2 linked regions of the Stegostoma tigrinum genome follow. The protein of the gene in region 1 binds, or shares a complex with, the protein of each later gene. Links are inferred from orthologs where the notes say so. Each region holds a gene or a part of one and is shown on either strand. Other genes may lie near its edges.

Region 1 (12,480 bases):
GCTTTAAAATGTTATATTTAATCACCATTTCCAAACATATTATGATTAAGTCTACAACAGGTGAAGCTTGAACGCAGAACTTCTCCTGAGATAGGAACATTACCACCACACCATTAGACACCACATCAAGGGCAACCTCATGATCAAGAAATAAACAGGATTAAGTATTGTCATGTCAGATATAGAAAGAGCCATAAAGAGAGGGAAAAAGAGACTGATTAAGAGATTTTTTAAAAAGCATAACAAAGAAAATTAAACCTACAATGTCAATAATCTCTAACAACAATTCTGTACTGACAGGACTAACTCCTCAGTTTAGGTTGTTCACTTTCTTAGCTAAGTCTCAATGTTTAAAAAAAAATGTTTTGACTGTTAGGTCCCACTCCTAAATTTCTAGACTTCATTTGGTAATCAATATGCAAACACAGCAGTTTTGTGAAACCCGCAAGGAGATTCAAATCAAGCTGTGGTTCCTCTCTCGGGAGTGGGCATTTCAATTCATAGCATTGTCTTCCTTATCTACAGGTCTTGCACACTTTATACATTAAGCATGGTGTATGTGTATTAATTTCACCATTATTTAGGCAACAAAATTTGAGCCCATTATTTGCTTAAAAATAGCAATGTCTGTAAAACACATAAAGGCCTATTTATTCTGATGGTCAGATAGTGACTGGAACAGTACAGACAGGAGTTGTAAATACATGCAAACTCATGTCTGGGCCCTGAGGGATCCAGCATGCAAAAGATTCTGTGAGAATTGTTCAGGAAATTGACAATTCAAATGGACAATTCCCCTATGTTCAAAACCTCAAAAAGAAACTATTAAAGACAGAGAATTTGGAGGATTCCTCTTCAGTTAAGAATCATAGAATTTCTACAGTGTGGAAACAGTCCACTTTTCCACTTTTAATCCTGCCTAAACCTTCAATTCCTCCTTACTCCGTATGTCAATCTGCTCAAGAACCTCATAGTTTGTTTTAAATTCATCTGAAAGATGTCGGCATCGCCAGCTGGCCAGCATTGCTAGCCCATCCCTAGTTGCCCTTGAGAAGGTGGTGGCGAGCTGCCATCTTGAACCATTGCAGTCCACCTGCTGTAGGTTGACTCACAATACCATTAGGGAGGGAATTCCCGGATTTTGATTCAGCGACCGTGAAGATATATTTCCAAGTCAATGCGGTCAATGGCCTGGAGGAGAACTTGAAGATGATGTTGTTGCCATGTATCTGGTGTCCTTGTCTTTCTAGATGGAAGTGTTCGTGGGTATGGAAGGTGCTGTCTGAGGGTCTTTGGTGAATTTGTGCAGTGCATTTACAGATAGTACACACTGCTGCTACTAAGTGTCACTGGTGGAGGGAGTGGATACTTGTGGATGCCGTGCCAATCAAATGGGCTGCTTTGTCCTGGATGTCAAGCTTCTTAAGTGTTGTTGGAGCTGCATTCATTCAGGCAAGTGAGGAGTATTCCATCACACTCCTGACTTGTGCCTTGTAGATGATAGACAGGCTTTGATGATTCATGAGGTAAGTTACTCACCACAGTATTCCTAGCATCTGACCTGCTCTTGTAGACACTGTGTTTTTGCAGTGAGTCCAGATGAATTTCTGGTCAATGATGATCCCTCGGGTGTTGATAGTGGGGGATTCAGGGATGGTAACACCACTGAATGTCAAGGGTCAGTGGTTAGATTGTCTCTTATTGGTGATTAAATTGAATTGAATTAAATCATTTATTGTCACATGTATTCAATACAAAATACAGTGAAAAGTTTATTCCAAGGCCATGCATTGGCACCATTCTCAAAATAAAATCAAAATAAAGAAAGGTAACTTAAAGAGAATCCAACTTTTCCTTCTCCGTTGCTACAGTCCCACACCGGGCTCCACCAGCCCATGCCATGATGCTGCCAGAGTCCCACTTTAGGCTTCACCAGCCCATTCCATGCCACCACTAAAGTCCCACTCCAGGCTTCACAGGCCAGCCAACTCTATAGCCATGCTGCCACCTTCCTGCTGAAGGGCTCTCTTTATCAGATAAATTTAAGCAAAAGCTACAAAGAAGCTGAGAAAAGTAGACGAAAAAGGAATGGAAAAACAGGAGTGCCTGGGGACAGGAGGGCAGACGTTGCCTACTCCGCAAAAGTAGCAATTAATAAGATTGTGAACGTTGATAGAGATTGATAAGAATGTGAATGGCAATGGATGCAGTGGAAAGTATGAGGTTTCTTCCCAGGAATCTAGGGGATACTGGTTCAAGGTGTGGGGGGGATGTTTAAGAGGGATGTGCGAGGCACATTTTTCACACAAAGGGTGGTGAGTGCCTAGACCGTGCTGCCAGAGGAGGTGGTGGAAGCAGACACAAGAGCAACATTCAAGGAGCACCTGGATAAATACATGACTAGGAGGGGAATAGAGGGATACTGATCCTGTAAGTGAAGACAGTTTTAGTATGGAAAGGCAAAATGTGTCAGCACAGGCTTGGAGGGCTGAAGGGCCTGTTCCTGTGCTGTTGCATTCTTTTGTTCTTAGTTCCACCACCATTATCCTGGTTATGATCATCTTGTTGCTCATAGCCTGGCGTTTGTGTAGCACGAATGTCATTTGTTACTTGTCAGCCCAAGTCTGGACATTGTCCAGATTTTGTTGCCTTTGAACACAGACTAGCTCAGTAACTGAGGAGGCACAATGGTGCTGAACATTGTGCGATCATTGGTGAACATCCTCACTTCTTACCTTATCATGGAGTGAAGATCATTGGTGAAGCAGCTGAAGATGGCTGGGCCAGGATATTACTGTGACGGACTCCCGCAGAGATGTCCTAGAGCTGGGATAACTGACCTCCAACAACCATGATCAACTTCCTTTTTTCCAAGTACAACTCCAACCACTGGAGAGTTTTCCCCAGATACCCACTGATTCCAGTTTTGCTTGGGGTCCTTGATGCCACACTCAGCCCAATGTAGCCTAGATGTCAAGGGCTGTTATTCTCACCTCATCTCTGGAATCAGCTCTTTTGTCTACGTTTGAACCAAAGCTGTAATGAGGTCAGGACCTGAGTGGCCCTGGTGGAACCCGAACTGGGCATCACTGAGCAGGTTATTGCTGAGCAGATGCTGCTTGATAGTACTGTTGTTGACACTTTCCATCAGTATATTGATGATCAACAGTAGGCTGATGGGATGGTAATTGGCCAGGTTGGATTTGTTTTGCTTTTTATGTACAGGATGTACATGAGAAAATTTCCACATTGTCAGGTGAATGCCAATATTACAGCTGTACTGGATAACAAAGAGTGGAGCTGGATGAACACAGCAGGTCAAGCAGCATCTCAGGAGCACAAAAGCTGACATTTCCGGCCTAGACCCTTCATCAGAGAGCAGTTGTACTGGAACAGCTTGGCTAGGGGAGCAGCAAATTTGGGAACGCAAGCCTTCAGTACTATTGCTGGATGTTGTCAGGGCCTGTAGCCTCTACAGTATCAATTGTCTCCAATCGTTTCGTGATATCACATTGGAATGAATCGAATTGGCTGAAGATTGGTAGGTGTAGTGCTGGGGACTACTGGAAGAGGATGACTTGGATTATCCAGTCAACACTTCTGGCTGAAGATTGCCGCAAATGTTTCAGCCTTATCTTTTGCATAGATGTGCTGGGTTTTTCCAGCATTGAGGATGGGGATATTTGCGGAGCTTCCTCCTCCAGTGAGTTGTTCAATTGTCTACCACCATTCACGACTGGATGTGGCAGGACTGCAGAGCTTAGATCTGATCTACTGGTTGTAGAATTGCTCAGTTCTGTCTGTCACCTGCTGCTTATGCCATTTGACATGCACGTACAACATAGAGTGGAGGTGGAGGAACACAACAGGCCAGGCAGTATCAGAGGAACAGGAATGTTGACATTTCAGGTCGGGAACTTTCTTCATAAATATCTGAACCTGAACCGTCAACTTTCTTATTCCTCTGACGCTGCTATGTTCCTCCAGATCCACACAGTGTTGTCTCTGACTCCAGCATCTGCAGTTCTTGCTATCTCCTAAACATGCAAATAGTCCTGTTTGGTGACTTCACAAGGTTGGCAAATCATCTTCAGGTATGCCTGGTGCTGGTCTTGGCATGCCCTCCTGCACTCTCTACTGAACTACGGTTGATTCCCTGACTTGATGGTAATGGTTGAATGGAGGGGAGTATGTGAGCCATGAGGTTGCAGATTGTGCTGAAGTACAATTCTGCTGCTGTTGTGGCCCCCGGCACCTCACAGTGCCTCTTCCTGAATTCTGTATCTACATTCTCCTTCCCCTGAGTGAAAACAGATGTGAAGTAGTCTTTTAATACTCTACCAGTGTCTGCCAAATCCCATGCCCTTATTGTCCCTTTGGTCCCTAATGGGTCCTACTCTTCCCCTGATTATCATATTCCACTTGATATGCTGTACAATATCTTGGGATTCTCCTTCATCTTCTCCACCTGTACTTTGTTCTTTGCTCTCATAATTATTTAATTTCCCCTAATCATTTTCTATACTGTACTAAGGCCTCCATTTGTATCTGTCAAAAACCTCTCTTTTCCTTCTTATCGAAGGGTTTCATGGGCTTATTACACCTACATTTCATCATAACGGGAATATGTTGTGCTTGCACTCTCCCCAGTTCCTTTTTGAGCATCCCCCTACCCCACCTCCCATCCTGTGGATTTACCAAGAAGGGGTTGTTCACAGTCTACTGTGGCCAGGTTCTGCCTTAATTTAATAAAATCTGTCTTCCCCAATCCATATCTCTGTTTGCAGGCCAACATGTTCCTTTCCCATAACAAACTCATGATATTATACATTGTGGTTCACTAACACTAAAATGCTCCCCTATTGACACATTAAACATCTTCATTCCCCAGAATGACGTCCAGTACTGCATCATCCCTGTTGGACCTTCTAGATATTAAAAGCTCTCCTGAATACGTTGAATATAATTGAAGAGCAGAATACACCGAACACACTGACCCCTATAAACCCTTTACACGATGACTATCCCAATTAATACTTGAATATTTGTCTGGCCAACATGTAACTCCAGGCAACATGGTTGACTCTTAACTGTCCTCTGGGCAAATATGGATGGGCAATAAATGCTACCCAGCCAGCAATGCCCTCATCCCATGAATGAATAAAGAAAAAAAATTCCAGTATTGTATGAGATAACACAATGTGGAGCTGTTGGAACACAGCAGTTAAGGCAACATCAGAGGAGCAGGAAAGCCGACGTTTCAGGTTGGGATCCTTCTTCAGAAGCTTTTCTGAAACATTTCTGAAGAAGGGTGCTGACCCAAAACATCATCTTTGCTGCTCCTCTGATGCTGCTTGGCCCGCTGCGTTCCACCTGCACCATACTGTGTTATCCAGGATTGTATGGTTGTCGTTACTTGAACATGTAAAGATTAAGCAATGAGTTGGAACAGAGTGGGGTTGTACGTGCGACTCTCTTTAAAGATTCCTGTCAATGTACAAAGAACCAACCTAAATAGTTGGACGACAGTCCACATTAATGCCAAGTCTCAGCACTTTACACCTGCCTCAGCCCTTGTGCTGCCAATAGGTGTTGTCACTTCTAGGTAAACTGTGCAAAATGCTCGAAGTTTAACCCACAAACGGCCTTGAATGCACGGCAAATGCAGTATACTTTCCAGGAACAGCAATTGAAAATGATGCGTGAAGATTGCAGCCCCGTTCCTGTGTTGTAGCGAGCGGCCTCCTCCAGACCCTCCCACGGGCTGTGTTGGAGTTATTCGGCCAGCGAGCGATCCATTGCAGTTAACATCTGGCTGCATAAGCATGGAAAAAGATGTCTTGTCTGGCACACAAAAACACACAAAGACTATCTGGCGCCTCCAGGCTTGTGATTGTTCCAGTCATGCAACAAGTTTACAACACGCCCTTCAAATTAAAAATTGGCATTTTTTTCATCACTGCACTCTAGATTCTTAAAAAGGGTGGGTTTAAAAGTGCGAATCGTTTTAACAGGATTTTAATATACCCTTCATGTTTATATTGAGTATCAACACAATTAAGGGGCCAATATTACCCGTGCCTAGAATTACTTATTAATCATTATCTGTGGACTGAATGGTCAGTACATGCAGCTTTATTTCTGCAATTCTTCGCTTGAAAGATACATTTATACAGCGCCTTTCTCCATAACTGGATCTCCAAAAGTACATATGGAATGCGATTACTGTAAGGAAGAGATATTGCCTCAAGAGAAGAAAAATATCAATGGCGTACTTTGGGGTCAAAAGCCTGTGTCCTTTTGCAACCGATACAATTCTAACGTCTGAATTGTGAAATGAACTCAAAACCTGAGCGGTTTGTTTCACGTGTACTGTTTTTTTTTCGAAATATGATGGGAACATTGTTGCTTTCTGACAATTTTGGTGCATTTACCCAACGATCATGCCTTTAAAACAAAACTCGTTCATTTTCGGAACAGTCTTGTTTCCAAATATAAACTTGGGGCAGCCCCAGTCGCCAGAGAATGCATTTCCTTCGGTGGATTTTTTTTCAACTTCCGCCAGTCCTTCTGCTCTAGCAGATCGGTCGCGTCTGCGCATCTGGAAGTACAAAGGATTTCAGTCGGCAGGGACTCAGCTAAGAGCGGCACATAGTTGCCTGAGACTAGCTGTGCTGGCAAAGCAGAGAAACACTGCATAATGTTTGTGCAGTGAAGGATATCGCAGAGACACCACAGCAACGGCATTTCTTTTTGATAAATAGGTGCTCTCCCACTGGAAGAAAATGACCATGGAAACAAGCGGCAACTTTTATCGCTTAGTCTTAAAAGTAACCTTGCTCCAGATCATCTGGGTCCAGCAGACTTTAGCGGCACCGACTGGCATAATCAAGTTTCCAGGTGATAACAGCACGAAGACAGACAAGGAAATAGCCACTGTAAGTGTGGGGAGACGTTAACTTTCTAATGCCCGGCTGCCTTGCAAATGGCGTTTTATGTTAAGTGGTCGTTTTCTTTAGCTTTCACAACAGCTGTTGAAACGAAGGAAGCGATTACTTTTTCCCCCCTCAGTGGCTCCAGGGCATCAAAGTTTCTTAAAAGTCTAGAAGAGAGAACGCCACGGGGCTTGATAACATCTGTTCGTTTTGGCAAGGCAGGGGACCTTGCATGTAGACAAAACAAAACAATTATAGATAAGTGGAACCTCACATTGTTTATCTAAGAGCTATCCAATAGCTTAGTGATAGGATTAATCTTATATTTCAATGAACACAAGGGCAGGACTAAGTTTAAAAAAAATTTGGGAAATTAGTCACAAAACAAGTAGAACAAATGTAATCTTTCCATATGCCTACTGTGTCCGTATATATGTTACAAAACATTTAATACGTGTCAAATTAACAATGTACTTTGGATGCTAACTTATTGCCATAATTTAATAAGCATCCATACAAGATCCCGAAAGTTTGTGGGTATTCTAACGGTGTCTGTGCTGAAAAAATAATGGCATAAATCCAACTGCCTCTAGGATTACAGAAACACGTGACAGATTTCTGCAGGCTATTAGCCAATGAAAGTTGGCTTTTGGAGTATCAAGTTATGAATATACTTGAAAACGTTAACGTCAAGCGCACTACAAGTTTCAAGAAGTTAACACAAGAAAATCAGGATGTCTGTTTGACTTATCAAGTCCTTATAACACAATATTAGTGCAAAATGAAATCTGCAATGTAAATAAGAATTATAATGCATTTAAAGTGGTCAGCCCTCAACTTTTGAATCCATTCAGAATTTCTCAAATACACCAGCAAAGTTTGCCACAAGTTCAACCAACACAGAATCAGAGCATTTTCAACTAACTTGTTAATGTCTGTCTCAAAATCTTTAATATTTTACCTATACAAACATATTTCTTTATATTTTATATTAGTTATATTTGAATAAATTCTATGGCTGCCCGAAAGAAAGGTGTGATCTTGTGGTACTGTCAGACACACTGAAGAAGATGCAGAAATTTTTTGGATTACCACAAACTGGAGAACTGGACAGTGAGACAGTAAGTGTGATGAAGAAACCGCGGTGTGGAGTTCCTGACGTGGCCAATTACAACTTCTTCCCACAGATGCCCAAATGGGAGAATAAGCAAATAACTTATAGGTAGGTGTGTATAAACATGTGGAGTTTTCTTCGGTGTGTCTTTTAATCACTTATGTAACTGGTAAGACGGTTTCATTGGGATTGTTTCAATATTTAAAGTTTTCAAGAAGATTTGTAGCTCAGATGAGGTTGTAGACATGCTTGCTGAGCCGGTAGGTTTGGTTGCAAACATTTAGTTACCTTGCTAGGTAACAACTTCAGTGTGCCACCAGTGAATGCAAAAACACCAGGCAACTCCAGACTAGCCACTGTATAGAAAGACCACACATACAGACCGAATACTCAATTACACTAGTGATCACCTCAGTGCCCATAAACAGAGCTGCATCAGGACACTATTTAAATGAGCCACAACACATTGCAACAACCCAGAACAATGCAAAGTGAAACAGAAGCACATATATGGAGCCTTCAAAAGGAATGTACTCTCGAAAAGCATAATCCACTGTTACCTCCGAGACAGATCACAATGGGAAGACACAACATGACCAGAATCACTAATCACCCTACCATTATTCAAAGATGACAACAAGACTACTCAGACCCTTGGGTATCAGGGCAGCCCACAAACCAGCAACCATCCTGCGACAGCTGCTGACAAATCTAAATGATTCTATACCCAAAACCAGTGTAATATATAAAATACCATGCAAGGATTGTGAGAAACACCACCTGATCAAACTGGAAGAAAACTGACAATAAGGATACATGAACATCAGCTAGCCGCCAAGAGACACCACCAGTTCTCACTTGTCTCGCTACTCACAGACAACAAGGGACGCAATTTTGACTGAGACAACACATCCATAATAACACGAACCAAGCAGGGACACACCAAGGAATTCCTGGAGGCCTGGCATTCTAACGAACACATTGAATTAGACCCAGTGTACAAACCAGAGAAACAGAACCAGAAGTGGTACGAAACACCCCAGCAAACTGAGGCAAATAAATAACCAGAGGCACACTGATGATGTTACCAAGCAGGGTGATGAAACATTTGCAACCAAATCCACTGGCTTGGCGAGCATGTCTAAAACTTCATTGTTTCAATATGCTGTAGGGAAACGAAAATAGTTTTTGATTGATTGTTGTATTACTCTGTTATTTCAAAATTGTTTCCTTGAAGGAAAGATATTAATTGTTTAATCGGTTGTTTCATTAAATGCATCATGAAAATTGTAATAGAAAGCAATAATAATATATTTAAAGGAGGACTTGGTGAAACGTAATGTGAATTTAGTCCTAAAATAAGAACGAGAACAATTTTCAGTAGATATCTTGAGTAACAAAGACTATTTACAGCTGTTTTTTAGACTATGAAAAATGTTCATTCGAAATTTTGCTGAAATATAAGATTTATCCAGAGCCTCCGTTAGGACCAAATAGAATCATAGAATCCCCACAGTGTGGAATCGGGCCATTCAGCCCATTTAGGTCACTGACCCTCCAAAGAGCAACCCATTCAGACACACTCTATCCCTATAACCCTACATTTCCCATGGCTAATCCACCTCATCTGCTCATCCCTGGATACTATGGACAATTTAACCTTGGCAATCCACCTAACCTGCACATCTTTTGGACTATGGGACGAAACTGGAGCACCCAGAGGAAACCCATGAGACACGGTGAGAATGTGCAAGCTCCACACAATTGGTCATCCAGGGGTGAAATTGAACCTGGATTCTTGCTGCTGTGAAGCAGCAGCGCTAACCACTGAGCCACCATGAGCATTCAAGCTAGAAGAGTGGTGATCAGACACATTTCAAGCGAAAAGAGGAGTATGATAAGTTTGTGTACTATCACCAAAATTAGTCGCTGTACACAGTGAACAAATATACTTCTCTGAAAGGGTCATGAATCTGCTGAATTCACTACCCTGGAGTAGAGTGATTGCCAGTGCACTGAATAAATTCAAAGATTAGATAGATAGACTTTTAATTAGTAAAGGGTCATAGGGAGCGGGCAGAAAAATGAGGCCGAGATAAGATCAGCTGTGATCATGTTAAATGGCAGAACAGGCTGCAGGGCATGAATTGCCTACTTCTGCTCCTAGTTGTTAAATAATTAGCGGATTAGATTAACTTCTATGGATGATGAATTGGGCAAGAATATAACAGACTGTGGTATGCTGATGACACACCACTTCTTGCAGAATCAGAAGAGACCCTACAAAATGTTATAGATGCAGTAAAATTTTGAGGCTTAGCCAGTGGATTGTGTACGAACACCCAGAGGGCAAATAAAATGTTACTCCGATGGAATACAAATGTACTAGAGTGAAGAATGAAGTTGATGGTGTCACACTGGAATAAATAGATACTTATCTGTACTTATCAAATGATAACTGCATTTGGCAGATGCAGTGCCCTAGTTAGGGTAACAACAGAGGTAGACAGAGGTAATTTTGTAAAATGAAGGTTTTATTCTCAACATGAAAACTTTTGTTTGTAACAAGAAATGAACTCTCAAAACTCTCCTATATGCCTAAGGAAGCTGGACAGCACATCATGATCTGTGGAAGAAAATAGAGTCCTTTTGAAATGTGAATGCTGAGAACATAAGCTAAAAATTGGATAGACAGATCATAAGACAAATGAAAAGGTACTTGAAGTTTCAAGAGCTGTGACACTCTTAAAGAGTGACATTCAGAAAATAAAATGTCACTCTTTCAGCCATTTGGTCAAGGTGAAAAGCTGCAGGAATTGCCTTAGAGGGCAAAATGGAGGGCAGCCGTTGGAGAGGTCACCCTGGGGTATTTCAGTGATTGGGTGTCACAGAGCAGTTACAGAGAAGGAACAGTAGATTTGTGAGGATGGTGCAAGACAGACAAACATGACGGACCACAACATGAGCTCTCCTGGCAGGAGTAGCCAAGAACAGAAACAGCAAGGTACAAATCAATGAACTTATGAAAAGTATTTCCTGTTACCACTTAAGGAAAGAAAAGACTTGCAGTCAACAATGTGCCAAAAAGGATTTGTTTTTGCTTAAAATAAATCATTGTATCACTGTAAATTCTAATGGGAGTTATGAGAAGGATTTCTGTCATTGCTGCCTTACATTACTGATTAGGCATATCAAGCTGAGCTTCTGCTGCTTATTCCTTACAGGATTTTGGGATACACTTACGATCTGGACTCTGAGACAGTGGATGATGCTTTTGCTCGGGCCTTCCAGGTATGGGCTGACGTCACACCACTGTCATTTTCAAGGATCTTCGATGGAGAGGCAGACATCATGATCAACTTTGGCCGTTGGGGTAATAATTAAATTTCTTGAAACCTAACACAGATGTTGGATTATAAATATTCAACATGGCTTTTGTCAGTGATGTCTAAATGGGACTTTTATGTGGTGCTTCCATATAAGAACACTTAATCCAAGTATTTGTCAAACACTTTGTGTTAAGCAGATGTTTTGGACCCAGACTTCTAAGAGCATAAACCTTGTATGACCAGTGGAATTGTGACTGCCAACATCCACCAGCATTGCAATTTTCTGTATCAGGAGGAGAGGATCTACACTGTATGGTGCAAACACTATTCTGGGTACATCTGCACCACCAGCTTGTCACATCTATTTGAAAGTTTTAGTTTCCACTTGCCATTGGCAAATGCTGTCCAGATCCTACTTCAGTCAAGTTCAAAAATAAAATTCTGGAGTTGCTGTAAATCTGAAATAAAAACGGGAAATGCTGAAATATGCAGCAGGTCAGACAGCATTTATGGAGAGGGAAAGAGAGTTAATTTTCAGGTCAGTGCCCTTTGATTGGAAGGTCACCGACATGACACATTCATTCTTTTGTCAAGACAAATGTTCCTTGGTCCCCACATTAAGGATGTGGATAAGGACATTAATCATTTTTTTAGATGTATTCTGTGTGGACGGCTGTGTGTGTGTTTTTGGAGAGAAAGGTGGTAGTGTGCACAGGGAAGGTAACAATGCTGCTAGCCTGGATTCCACAGGTGGAAGTCAATATGCCTGACCTTCCTATGGGCTTTCACTGATACACTAAGTAGTACTATATCTTCAGGAGTAAACAATTCTTCAGAATAATTTCCTTCATACGGGGCAGGTAAAGGTATTGGCCAATATAAGGTAATAAGAAAATGCCCATCCCAGTCTATGCTACTTATTTAGAGATCTCTCAGTTGCGATGTTGAATTATAGTGGTAGACTTGGGGAGGCAAAGTGCTTAAACAATGCTAAACACTTCTGCCAAAGGCATGGCCAAGACTGCTAACTTGATTTGCAATTATCAATTGTACAGCCAAATCATTGACACTAGTTGATTCTTGAAAGTGGTGCAATGGCTCA
Region 2 (12,152 bases), on another chromosome or scaffold:
TTCCTAAGATTTCCAGGTTTTTATAGACTTATAGAGTCACAGAGTGTAGAAAAAGGCCATTTGGCCCACCGTGTCTATGCCAACCAACAAACACCAAACACCCACCTACATTAATCCCAATTAATTGCAATTTATCCATGGCCTACTATGGCCTGGCATTTTAAGTACTCATCCAGGTGCTTCTTAAATGTTGCAAGCCTTAAATAATGCTATTCTTGCTATAATTGATCTCGCCTAGTGCACGCCCTGTGCTATGTAGCCTGTATGCATCTGTCTATGTTTTTTTGATCTGTACATCCTTTCTTACTATGAACTGTTGTACAGCTCATAAACAAAACTTTTCACTGTACTTAGGTACATGTGACAATAAAAAAAATCATTCAATCAAGATTGAGACTTCCAAGTGTTTCCTAAGGAGTTCCAGGTTTTTATAAACTTATAGAGTCATATAGCATAGAAGAAAGCCCTTTGGCCTACCATGTCTTTGCCGACCAACAGACACCGAACACCCAACTAAAATAATCCCATTTAACTGCACTTTGTCCATAGACTACAATGACCTGGCATTTTAAGTACCCATGAGGGTGCTTCTTAAATGTTGCAAGATATTCTGCCCCCACTCCCTTCTCAGGTAGTACATTCCATATTTATACTACCCCTCAGGTGGAAATTCTCTCATGTCTCTTCTAAGCCATTTGCTCCTCACTTTAAATGTTTGCCCTGTAGTCTTAGACACACTTGCCAAGGGGGAGAGATTCTCACAATCTACTCTGTGTATACCTCTCATAATTTTGAATCCCTTAATCAGGTCCACCCACCACCCCTCCACCTCACCCCTCCGACCCCCCCCCTCCCCTTTCCTACCCACTCAACCTTTACTGCTCCAAGGAAAATAAACCAGGCCCATCCAGTCTCTCTTCACAACTGAAACTTGTCATTCTACACATTATCTTGATGAATCTCCTCTGCACCTTCTCCTGTGCAACCACATCCTTCCAATAATGTAGCAACCAGAACCGCACACAGTATTCTATATGTGGCCCGATCAATGTTTTATAAAGTTGTGACAAAACCTCTTTGCCCCTATATTCTATACCCTGGTTAGTAAAGGCAAACATTCTGTATGCCTTCTTAACCACCACGTTTACCTGTGCTGACACCTTCAGGGGTGTAGGACTTGTATCCTAATGTCCCTTTATTATTCAGAACTTCCTAGGGACCTACCGTTCATCATTTATATCCTTCCCTTATTTGACCACCCAAAATAAATCACCTTGCACTTATCTCTTGCCTCAATTCTACATTGAAATTTATACCAGATATTTATCACACTTTCTTTTATCAGTCAAAGCAATGTTTAAGATTAATGTTCTTTCAACTCTTAACAAGTTCCTGTACTTAATGCCATAATGTAACTCCTTTATTCAGAAAGGGAGAGACAGAAAGGTCCACTACAGGCCACTTAGTTTAACGTCTGTTACAAGAGGGTATTTAGAAAAGTTCAAGGCGACCAGACAGAGTCAATATGGTTTTCTGAAAGAGGGATCATGTTTAATCAGTTTCTTCGAGTCTTTGAAGAGCAATTTTTGCTGTAGATAAAGGAGAACTGGTGAATGCACTGTAGTTAAGTTTCCAGAAGACATTTGATACAGGGTGCCAGATTACTGCAGAACATAAATGCTTTTGTGTAATGCATGCCATATTGCCTGTCTAACAGGAAACAGTGATTCATTATCTCATTTGCAAGATGAAATGAGTGGTGTGCCAAAGTGATCAGTATGTGGGTCTCAAACTTTTACGATTCATGAATGCTTCAGATGTAGGGACTAAAGGTATGGTTGATAACACAAAAATAGGTAGAAAAATAAGTTGTGAAAACAATATAGGTGGGAACAAAGAGTTATAGCTTGGTTAAATGAGCAGGCAAGTATTGGCAGTTGGGTACAATGTAGGAAAATGTACAACTGAAAATTTTGACAGGAAGAACAGAAAAGGCATATTACCAAAATGATGAGAGACTGCGGAGATCTGAGATGCAATGAGATCTGGATTTCCTGGTGCATGAATCATAAAAGATTGGTATGCAGTTACAGCAAATTATTAGTAAAGTTGATAAAATGCTATTACTTATTATGTGAGCAGTTGAATTCAAATGTAGAGAGGTTACCCTTTACTTGCACAAGGCACTGGTAATACCACATCTGAATTATTGCGTACAGTATCCGCCTCCTTATTTAAAGAAGGATATAAATCCATTGGAAGCAGGCCAGAGAAATTTTACTAGACTAATACCAAGAACGAGCATGTTGCCTTATGAGGAAACGTTAGAAAGACTGGGGTTCAATACACTGGAGCTTAGAAGTCAGGGATGATTTGATTGAAATAGATAGGATCCTGAGAGGCCTTCACAGATTGGCTGGGGAAAAATAGTGGCTTCATTCAGCCATGATCTTACAAAATGGTGAAGCAGGCTCAGGTTGGGGTGAGGCGGGGTGAGAGCTAAATGGCCCACCCTAAACACCATATAAACTTACTGCATTTGTCAGCCATTTCCCTTCGACACCAGACAGGCCCAAGTTTCTCCAGAATTTCCTTCAAGCCTGAGATTTAGGCAAAACCTTATGATTTTTCTTACTTTCTCAGTGAACAGCACTAGTCTCAAGTTTTGGAATTCAACATGCACTCTGATCAAAGCACTACAATTTGTGATACTTCTCTCCTTTTTTAATATACATTCACAAAATGTGGGTATCACTAGCTACACCAGCATTTATTAACTATCCCCATTGTCCTTGAAAAGGTGGTGAGCTGCCTTTTTGAACTGCTGTAGTTCTTCAGGTGTTGTATAATCGAAGTGCTTTTAGGAGGGGAGTTTCAGGATTTTGGCCCAGCAACACTGAAAAAAACAATGATATATTCCCTCTCTGATGAAAGGTCTAGGCCTGAAACGTCAGCTTTTGTGCTCCTGAGATGCTGCTTGGCCTGCTGTGTTCATCCAGCCTCACATTTTATTATTTTGGAATTCTCCAGCATCTGCAGTTCCCATTATCTCTGATATATTTCCAAGTCAGGATGTTGAGTCGCTAGGTGGGGAACTGGCACATTATGATGATCTGATTTAACTAAAGCCCTTGTCCCTCCATATAGTGGAGGGCAAGGTTTGGAGGGGGCTGTCCGAGGAGTCTTGTTGAGTTACCATGGTGAACTATGACCTTTGCCAGTGTGTCAGTGTGAAGGAAGTGAATGTTGAAAGTGGTGATTGGGGTTACAATCAAGTGAGCTATTTTGTCCTGGATGATGTTAAGTCCTTGAATGTTATTGATTCTGCACTCCTCCAGGTAAGTTGTGAGTATTCTATCACATTTTGATTTATGCCTTGTGACCGCAGGTCATGCACTGAGGATGAGTTCATGGCTATGGAATTCCAAGCCTTTGACCAGCTGTTTTAGTCAGACCATTTATATGTCTGATCAAATTTAGTTTCTGGTCAATGGCCAACTCACTATAGGAGGAGGTTCCACAAATATCCCCAATCTCAATCAAGGAAGAGCCCAACACATCCGTGCAACAGCTTTTGCAGCAGCCTTCAGCCCAAAGTGCCGCATGGGAAATCCATCGCAGCCTCCTCCAGTGGTCCCCAGCATTACAGATACTGGTCTTCAGCCAATTCGATTCACTCCAGGTGATATCAAGAAATGGTGGGAGGCACTGGATAGTGCAAAAGCTACAGGTCCTGACAACATTTCAGAAATGGTACTGAAAACTTGTACTCCAGAACTTCCCACTTCCCTAGCCGAGCCCTTACCATGCACATACAACACTGGTATCTACCCGACACTGTGGAAAATTGTCCAGGTATATCCTGTACACAAAAAGCAGCTGAAATCCAACCTGACCAATTACTGCCCCATTAGTCACTCTCAACTATCAGTAAAGTGATGGAACACAAGTGTTTTCAAACAGTACCTGCTCAGCAATAATCTTCTCAGTGATGCCCAGTTTAGGCACTGCCAGGACCACACTGCTATTTACCTCATTATAGCTTTGGTTCAAACATGGACAAAAAAAGCTGAATTCCAGAGGTGAAGTTAGTGTGAAAGCCCTTAATATCAAGGCTGCATTTGACCAAGTGTGGTGTCAATGACCCCTAGCAAAACTGGATCTAATAGGTATCAGAGGGTAAACTCTCCACTGGCACATAGGAAAATGGCCGTGGTTGTTGCAGGTCAGTCATCTCAGCTCTAGGACATCTCTGCAGGCGTTCCTCAGGGCAGTATTCTTGGCCCAACCATGTTTAGCTGTTTCATCAACGACCTCCCCTCCGTCATAAGGTCAGAAGTAGGGATGTTCACCAATGATTGCACAATGCTCAGCACCATTCATGACTGCTCAGTCCATGTTCAAATGCAATAAGATCTGGATTATATCCAATTTTGGGCTGACAAGGGGCAAGTAATATTTGCTTCACACAAATGCCAAACAATGACTATTTCTAATAAAAGACAATTTAACCACAACATTCAATGGTGTTACCATCACTGAATTGTTCATTATCAACATCCTGGGTTTACCATTGACCGGAAACTCAACTGGACTTGTCACATAAACTCAATGGCTGCAATTGCTGGTCGGAGGCTAGGAATACTGCAGTAAGTAACTCACCGCCTGACTCCCCAAAGCCTGTCCACCATCTACAAGACACAAGTTAGGAGTGTGATGGATTATTTCCCCATTTGCTTAGATGAATACAGCTCCAAAAACACTCAAGAAGCTTGACACCATCCATGACAAATTAGCCCACTTGATTGGCACCGAGTCTACAAGCATTCACTCCCTAGACCACCGATGCTCAGTAGCAGCAATGTGTTCTATCTGCAAGCCACATTGCAGAAATTCACCAAAAATCCTCAGACAGCAACTTCCAAACTCAAGACAACTTCCATCTAGGGCAGCAGTTAAATGGAAACATCACCATCTCTGAATTCTCCTCAAAGCCATTCACCATCCAGACTTGGAACTTTATCGCCATTCATTCACTGTAACTGGGTCAAAATCCTGAAATGTCCTCCCTGAAGGCATTGTGGGTCAACCTACAGCAGCTAGACCACAGCGGTTCAAAAACTGCAGTTCACCACCACCTTCTCAAAGGTGACTAGGGATGGGCAATAAAATGCTGGCGAACCAATGATGCTCATGTCTCACAAACAAATTTTAAAAATGTCATTCCTGGGATGTTCCAACCATCCCAGGCATGCTCTGCTGTTTTTTGGACCTATTCCCATGAGACCTTTGCCATTCCATTTATCATCTCAGATGAATGCCTCCATTGACCCTGCCTCCATTACACACTCAGACAACACGTTCCAGGCCATAATCACTCTCTGCATGATAACAATTTTCCTCAAGTTTCATTGAGACTTCTGCCGATTGCCTTAAAAGTGTATCCTCTGGTTCTCAACCCTTCCAGAACTGGTGATGGTTTTTCCCTGATAACAAAGTGTGGAGCTGCATGAACACAGCAAGCCAAGCAGCATCTTAGGAGCACAAAAGCTAACCACTCTGTCCCAAGTCCTTTTGATTTTGAATTTCAATCTTCTCTCTTCTTCTTCAAGGCCACAGCATCTCTAACTAAGTAACCTCATCCCTGAAACCAAACTTGTTTACCATTTTTTGCACCCTCTAATGACTTGACATTCTTCCTGAAGCCTCTGCCGACACTGGGCAATTCTCCTGCTTGAACTAAACAAGTGTTTTACACAAGTTTTAACATTAACTTCCTTGCTTTTGTACTTGATACCCCTACTTATGAAGTCCAAAATTATGCATCCTATGAAATATATACCCTGGTTCTTCTGCTCCTATATATTGGGTAAGAAATCTCATTCTGGCTGTTGCTAACAGAAAATTCCAGATTCTGTTTTGTCTGGGTTATTTCTTACGAGTATTTTTTGGCCCCAGGAGGTCTTTTGTCATCCCCGACCTTGGGGATTATCTTTCCTATCCAGCGGTTTATGTGTTAGTTTGGAGAGTTATAATCATACCAATATGTCCGTATAATTTGTAAATGCGTGTTACCCAAGGGAAATCATGGACTTGATCTGGTTGGGTTTTTTCACTCGGATCGTCCTAGACATCTCAATATTATCAGTTAATTTGTCTCCTGGGAACAGCATCACATGGTGCTTTTTAATCAACGGAGCACTCGAAGTGAAATACTGCACTGCACACAGACAGCGAAGTCATTAATGCATTTGTCTGGTCAATTCAGTATCGTGTAGGCGGGCGGCTTTGTTTGTGTATTTTTACATGAGCAAATAATTTGATCGCCAAACTATCCATATTCTCATGAACAATAACCAGTATGCAGCAAGTGGGAAACGATTTGCAAAATTGGGAACTTCAAATTTAAAGCATGGATTTTCACCGTTTTTTTTAACCAAAAAAAGTGGCACAATCAAGTTCGTAAAAGGAAGCTTCTAGAAGCTACTATTTACAGGATTCCTTTCAGCTAAAATGTGTGTCTGATTAATAGCAGTTTACACTGAGGACTGGCAATGTCGAATCAGGTCAGATCTCTCGCGTTCACTGATGTTTATTACCAGCCCATGGAATACTTTCTTTTCAGTCTCTCTAATGAACTGAGCCACAGCGACGTACTCCACAGAGATTCGTAGCTCATTAAACCGAGAGGGAGAAAAAAAATGTGTAGAATTGCCCAGAGCAATGAAAAAAAAACAAGGCGTCTTTGATAGTGGGCCATCAACACTGGCTCTCGCTGTAACTGGTCCATTGACTTAGAGAGGCGGGGACAGCAGAAAACCTTCCAGCCACTAAATAGGGTTCAGCTCAGAGAGGACAGAATAAAACACGCCCAGCAGACGCACAGGCACGACACCGCTTCACTAGATGTCATTTTGCGAATTTATATTCCTCTTCCGAGATCACGCTCAACTAAACTTGCCGCGTGTTTGCCTGAGACAGGACAAGCTTCTGTAAGACCCTTATTCCTGGCGATCCCTTGCTGGAAGAAGAGCTTTACTTCTGTGAGGTTTTAAAATGAGTGCTATATTCAGCAGTCTGGTGGCAACATTGTTTCTGCTCATGGTTTTAAGGGTGGAACAGATCGCCGAGGCTTGTAGCTGTGCCCCGAACCATCCCCAGCAAGCTTTCTGTAATGCAGATGTAGGTAAGTAAAGACATCTTTCTGCAGTCAAGTGTGTTCCCCCCCCCCCGCCTCAAAGAAACCCACAAATTTAAAAATGCGACTGCGTTGAACACACGATACGACATGGTGATTTCCTGTTAAAAGCTGCCCGAAGTAAATGGAGCCAGAAGTCAGAAAGGAAAGTTTAAGGTACAGTATCACCGATACCAGCCTCTCCTGTCCTGTCATTGCACATATTCGAACTCAGCCCAGTGCTGATCTCTCCAGATGTTGCTATTTGATTTTCTTTAGAAGTAGCTCACAACATTGCTGGTTAATTTCAGATATTACTTGGAAACTGACAGGCTTGTAAAAAAGATGGAATCTTGTGGCCCTAACCTTCTCAGTACTTGTTGCCTATTGTGTTGCTTGAGTAGTCAGTCTGAACTTACAAGTGAAGCACGAACGTGTGTTTAAATCCTCAGTACATACCTGACCATTCCTCCCAACCACTTTGTTTATCAGGCAGAAGACTGATAATAATTGACTTGTGATGAGATTGTTGTTACAAGACAAAGTACTGTACCATTTTAGAAATGGGTTGTGACCAGAACTTTGCATATTTGGATCACTTTTAATTTATTCACTTCCATCTGTATATATTTCAGTAATCAGACCATTTTTGTTGATTTAAGAATACTGTTTCACAAAATAGTCCCTCAGCTATTTTAGAGCCAACACATTACTAAATAATTAGATACAGTGCCTGAGCTGTTTGTTGGAATGACTGAGTTCATACTTCACATCTTAGGTAAACCACATCCCAACAAACATTTCAGAACTCAAATGACATCTTTCCTTTAGCTAACATTTCAAGTGTGACCATATTTTTGAAAAAAAACAGTTGATCATACTTAAAAGGTTCAGCCACACCAGTTAGCCTTTGTAGTATTTTTCAGAGTATCTCAAACATTGAGGTTGTGCAGATTTTACCATTGTCTGTAAATGGGCTTGAGCCTATCGAGCACATTCTCTGGAGCCTGTTATTTCTGAACGAGATTAACTTGCACAGTTTTTTTTAATATTACTTGGCTGATTTAATAGCTTACAATCAAAACTGATTTGACTATGTATATGATTATGTATCCATTCTTGGAACCCTTGCTCTTGGCTTATAATGTGATTCCCCAGTGCATATTTGCACAATTAGTAGGACATATCATTGCAGAACTATTTGCATGCATATTTTTCATGTTCACATTTGTGTCTGTTACCTATTTGGGAAAAGACATCTTGTGGTATTGTACAGCATACGTGGAAAACGAAGAATTACAGGACTACAAACTTTTGAAAATCAAGTCTGTATTCACTTTTAAGGCCATCTTGCAGTTTATTTGCACATACTTTTATGAATATATCTGAAAAATGTATTATATTATTTAATGAGGCTTAAAATCAATTACTTATCATCTTTCAGTAAGAGATGTGTTTGCCTAAGAAACAGAAACATTGACAGTGGAAAGGCTCAAGTTGGCAAGTAGCCATTATACCATGAGTAGCGGCACTACACAGTTTCGTATCGAAATGTGTATTATTGATTCCAAACTTTTCTATGTTAGGGAAATAACACCTTGCAATGCACCAACATTTGCAAGGTTCCTACATCCTACCCACTGATAGATGCTGCCAAATGCAAAATTGCTATCATCATTGAAAATTCAAGTCATAGAAATGTTTATTAGTATGCAACAACACAAGTACTGTGCTATTAAATCAACAAGCACAGCAATCTAGTAACAGGCAAAAATCCTTGAAGACTTGCTCGGGTCTGGCACCCAAATGTGTTATTTTTCTCTCCTACACATTCCTCTTAAGACATACATTATTCCAGAGCCAAGCGTGTGGGCAGAAATGCTGCCCTCGAGCCTATGCCAATGCTATGATTCTGTCAGATCGCTTCAAGGTTCACAGCAGCAGCCTTGGGTGATTTGCTGATTTGGTTTCTTTTCCCCCACTAGTCCCTGTGAAAGATCATCATCTGCCCTGCATTCCACTTCATGCCTTTACCTGGCAGGAGACTTGAATGTTGGGAACGCATTGTGTGGAGATTGCAATTGCATCATAATGCTATTCCACGGCAAGCAATTCTAATACAGTTTACATTGCCAGGAAGCTGTATTGATTATTTAATATATCAGCAGCTCACTCACTGAAAAAGATTGAAGTTGTTGTTTTCGCTCCATTTTCTTTATCAAAGTCACCTGCAGAAAATTTAGTCTCAATGCCGTAAATATTTGTTGAACTGTACAGTCAGCTTTGGGTCCAAATGACGACCAGAAGTTGATCCTGTACCACTTCAAACAATTATAATCTAAAGCCTGCTTTCTTTAGCTGAACTGCAATTGGTGGTTGAAAACAGGTAATTAAGAAATTCATTTGAGAGTACAGACCAACTTAAGATGTTTTATGACTGGAGGCAGTAGTTTCTATGGTGGCTGCTTTCCACTGCAGCTTGTGCATTACATAGCACAAAATCAGCCTCCAGATTTCCTCCATAAATGGATTGCAATTTCATAACAGGGCTGTTATTTTGGATTATATTGCAAAAAGGATTGGGTGGACTGGAAGGTTTCAGCAGTAAAGTGCAATTATGAGTTTTGCTGCATAACCAAATAGTTTGCAAATGCTAGACTGCTTATGGTTTTAATTAGTGTCTGTATGGGCATTACTGTAATGTGCATGTCTGATTATAAACAACTTTGTTCATTCCTGAACTATTGTATGTAAATCTACAGTCTCTTTGAAGCAAGAGGTACCAATGCTTTCCCCAAGACTTGTGTACATAGAAGTTTGCATACAATAATAATTTGCAATTATCTATTTGAACATTTAATATCAACCTGGCAGTAATCCCTGCATGCACAGGATGTTTTGTAAATCTAATTTTCTCTCAATAGAGTCTCTTGCCATTTTTTTTCCTCAAGTGACAAACATGCACTATTTATCAGCATCCCAAAAGGGGACAGTTTAATGTTTTTAAAATTGCACTGGAGACTTCCAGTTGAATATTAAATTATGTCCCGTTTCCACCCCTTGCCTCCACCCCAACACTGGACAAGCTCCATCAGCAAATGTTAATCACACTATCAAAGCTTACCTACAGCAAAATAAAACACAATCCCACTGATCACTTCCTCCACTTACTGATGGGGGTAGGCGAAATAACCAACATCCTGTTTATCGAACTGAGAAACTGAATAGAGGTGGTTTTAAGGAAATTACATGACGTTTGTTGAATGTATGAGTAGGGCCATGTAACATGTTTGTTTTTGTGGTGGACTGTGCAATCACATTTTTATATATAACTTACTACAAATCGGTTCAGTGTCTGCCAGATATTGACTACAAATGATATGTTGTCAGCTGATAATTACAAATCCTTTATGCAAATCTTTTGTAACAAATGATTTTTGTTTTCAGTGTATCTTCTCCCAGAAGGCAGTACTAGCAACGCAAGTAACAGAAGAGGTTAATAGGAGCTGTGAATAAATAATATTTAATATGGATAAATTTGTAATAAATGTCCTAAAACTAACACGCAGGCTGTAACACCATAACATTTGATAGTATTCGGAGACTGTGATTAAACATTGTACTGAAGGTGAGGGTGCATTATACGTCTGGTTTGCCACTATTATATTTGGTGGCAATCAAGCCACCAACTCTTCCAACAGAATTTTATTTGGCTTTTCTTTTAAGTTTGTTAATAATAGTTCTATGTCATTTACTAGTTAAGAACAAGCATGTGAACATACCATTTAGGGGCAGGAGTAGGCCATTCAGCCTACAGAGACTGCTCCATGACATCTTACTGAAACCTCAAATCTACATTCCTGCTGACTTTAATAACCTTTCACCCTTTTGCTTAACAAGAATCAGTCTACCTCTGCTTTAAAAATATTCAGTGGCTCACTTTTTGTGTTTTATGGGTGACCCTGATTTTTAAACAGTGACCATGGCTTCTGGATTCCCTGTCAGAGGGAACATCCACTCCACAGCTGCCCTGTCAAGACCCCTCAGGATCTTGTACATTTCAATCGAATTATCTCTAACAGTTTTAAATTCCACCAGATACAAGCATAGCCTGCTGAACATTTCCTCAAGACAAGCCTCTCATTCTAGGCATTAATTTGAAAAACCTCCTATAAACTGCCTCCAATGCATTTAGATCTTTGATGAAACAAGGTGACAACATAATTCAGATCCAATCTCACCGTTATAACTGAAGCATAATCTTTACTCAAGGTCACTTCCCCTTGTGACAATTGATAATGGCCAATTATTTTTCCAAATTACTTGCTGTACCTGTGTACTAACCTTTTATCATTCATGAATAAAGACACTGAGGTCCCTTTGCATCTCGAGTGCTGCAATCTCTCATCATTTGGCTAACATGCAATTTATTGTTCTTGCCAAAATGCACATTTTCCCACTTTGTAACATCATGTTCATTTGCCAGATCTTTGGCAGCCCTCTTAACCTATCTATAATTTCTCTGTGGGCTCTTTATTTCCTCTTCAAACCTTATTTTCCGACTCACCAATTTTGGCAGCTTTCAATTAAATGAGATTGTTGCTAGATAAGGGCAGCCTTGGAAGATTAAAGCCAATACATTGGTTGAACTCCTCATAGAGACTACCTTTGCCACATCAGATTATTTTTTTTTCAATCGGTATGTAGATTAAATTCTCGTATGATTATTGCTATACCTTTCTGGTGAGTGCTTATTATTTCTTCCTTTATGTTCTACCATATCATGTGGTTACAGTTAGAATGGCCTCTACACTACTTCCACAAGTAACCTTTTCCTTTTTGTCGTCATCTCTCACCTCTATTTCAACATCTTGATTCCCTGAACTTGGGCCCCCTCCTTGATTGATCTAATACCATTATTAACCAACACAGTCACCCTTCTACCATCTCCTGTTTCCCTGTCATTCCATTTTAT

Evidence for each region.
Region 2: the proteins of mmp2 (region 1) and timp2a are in contact, whole or in part, in a crystal structure (PDB 1GXD), measured with the Homo sapiens proteins. The link is inferred for Stegostoma tigrinum from reciprocal best matches to the Homo sapiens genes MMP2 and TIMP2. Residues at the interface, in NP_004521.1 of Homo sapiens: Trp574, Lys576, Asn577, Lys579, Tyr581, Phe588, Arg590, Lys595, Asp599, Phe602, Lys604, Ile606, Ala607, Asp608, Ala609, Trp610, Asn611, Ala612, Asp615, Tyr636, Leu638, Leu645, Lys646, Ser647, Val648, Lys649, Phe650, Gly651, Ser652; in NP_003246.1 of Homo sapiens: Ile162, Pro163, Cys164, Tyr165, Ile166, Pro169, Leu173, Met175, Val178, Thr179, Phe191, Arg196, Asp198, Ser200, Cys201, Ala202, Trp203, Tyr204, Arg205, Ala208, Lys211, Gln212, Glu213, Phe214, Leu215, Asp216, Glu218.

Annotation. Positions count from the first base shown.
Region 1 is NC_081369.1:21,841,726-21,854,205, reverse strand, and holds the start of mmp2 (72 kDa type IV collagenase), read left to right. Parts: upstream 1-6,575; 5' UTR 6,576-6,785; coding exon 6,786-6,938; intron 6,939-7,930; coding exon 7,931-8,157; intron 8,158-11,273; coding exon 11,274-11,422; intron 11,423-12,480.
Region 2 is NC_081375.1:16,774,109-16,786,260, reverse strand, and holds the start of timp2a (metalloproteinase inhibitor 2a), read left to right. Parts: upstream 1-6,864; 5' UTR 6,865-7,056; coding exon 7,057-7,186; intron 7,187-12,152. UniProt on the Homo sapiens protein: Complexes with metalloproteinases (such as collagenases) and irreversibly inactivates them by binding to their catalytic zinc cofactor. Known to act on MMP-1, MMP-2, MMP-3, MMP-7, MMP-8, MMP-9, MMP-10, MMP-13, MMP-14, MMP-15, MMP-16 and MMP-19.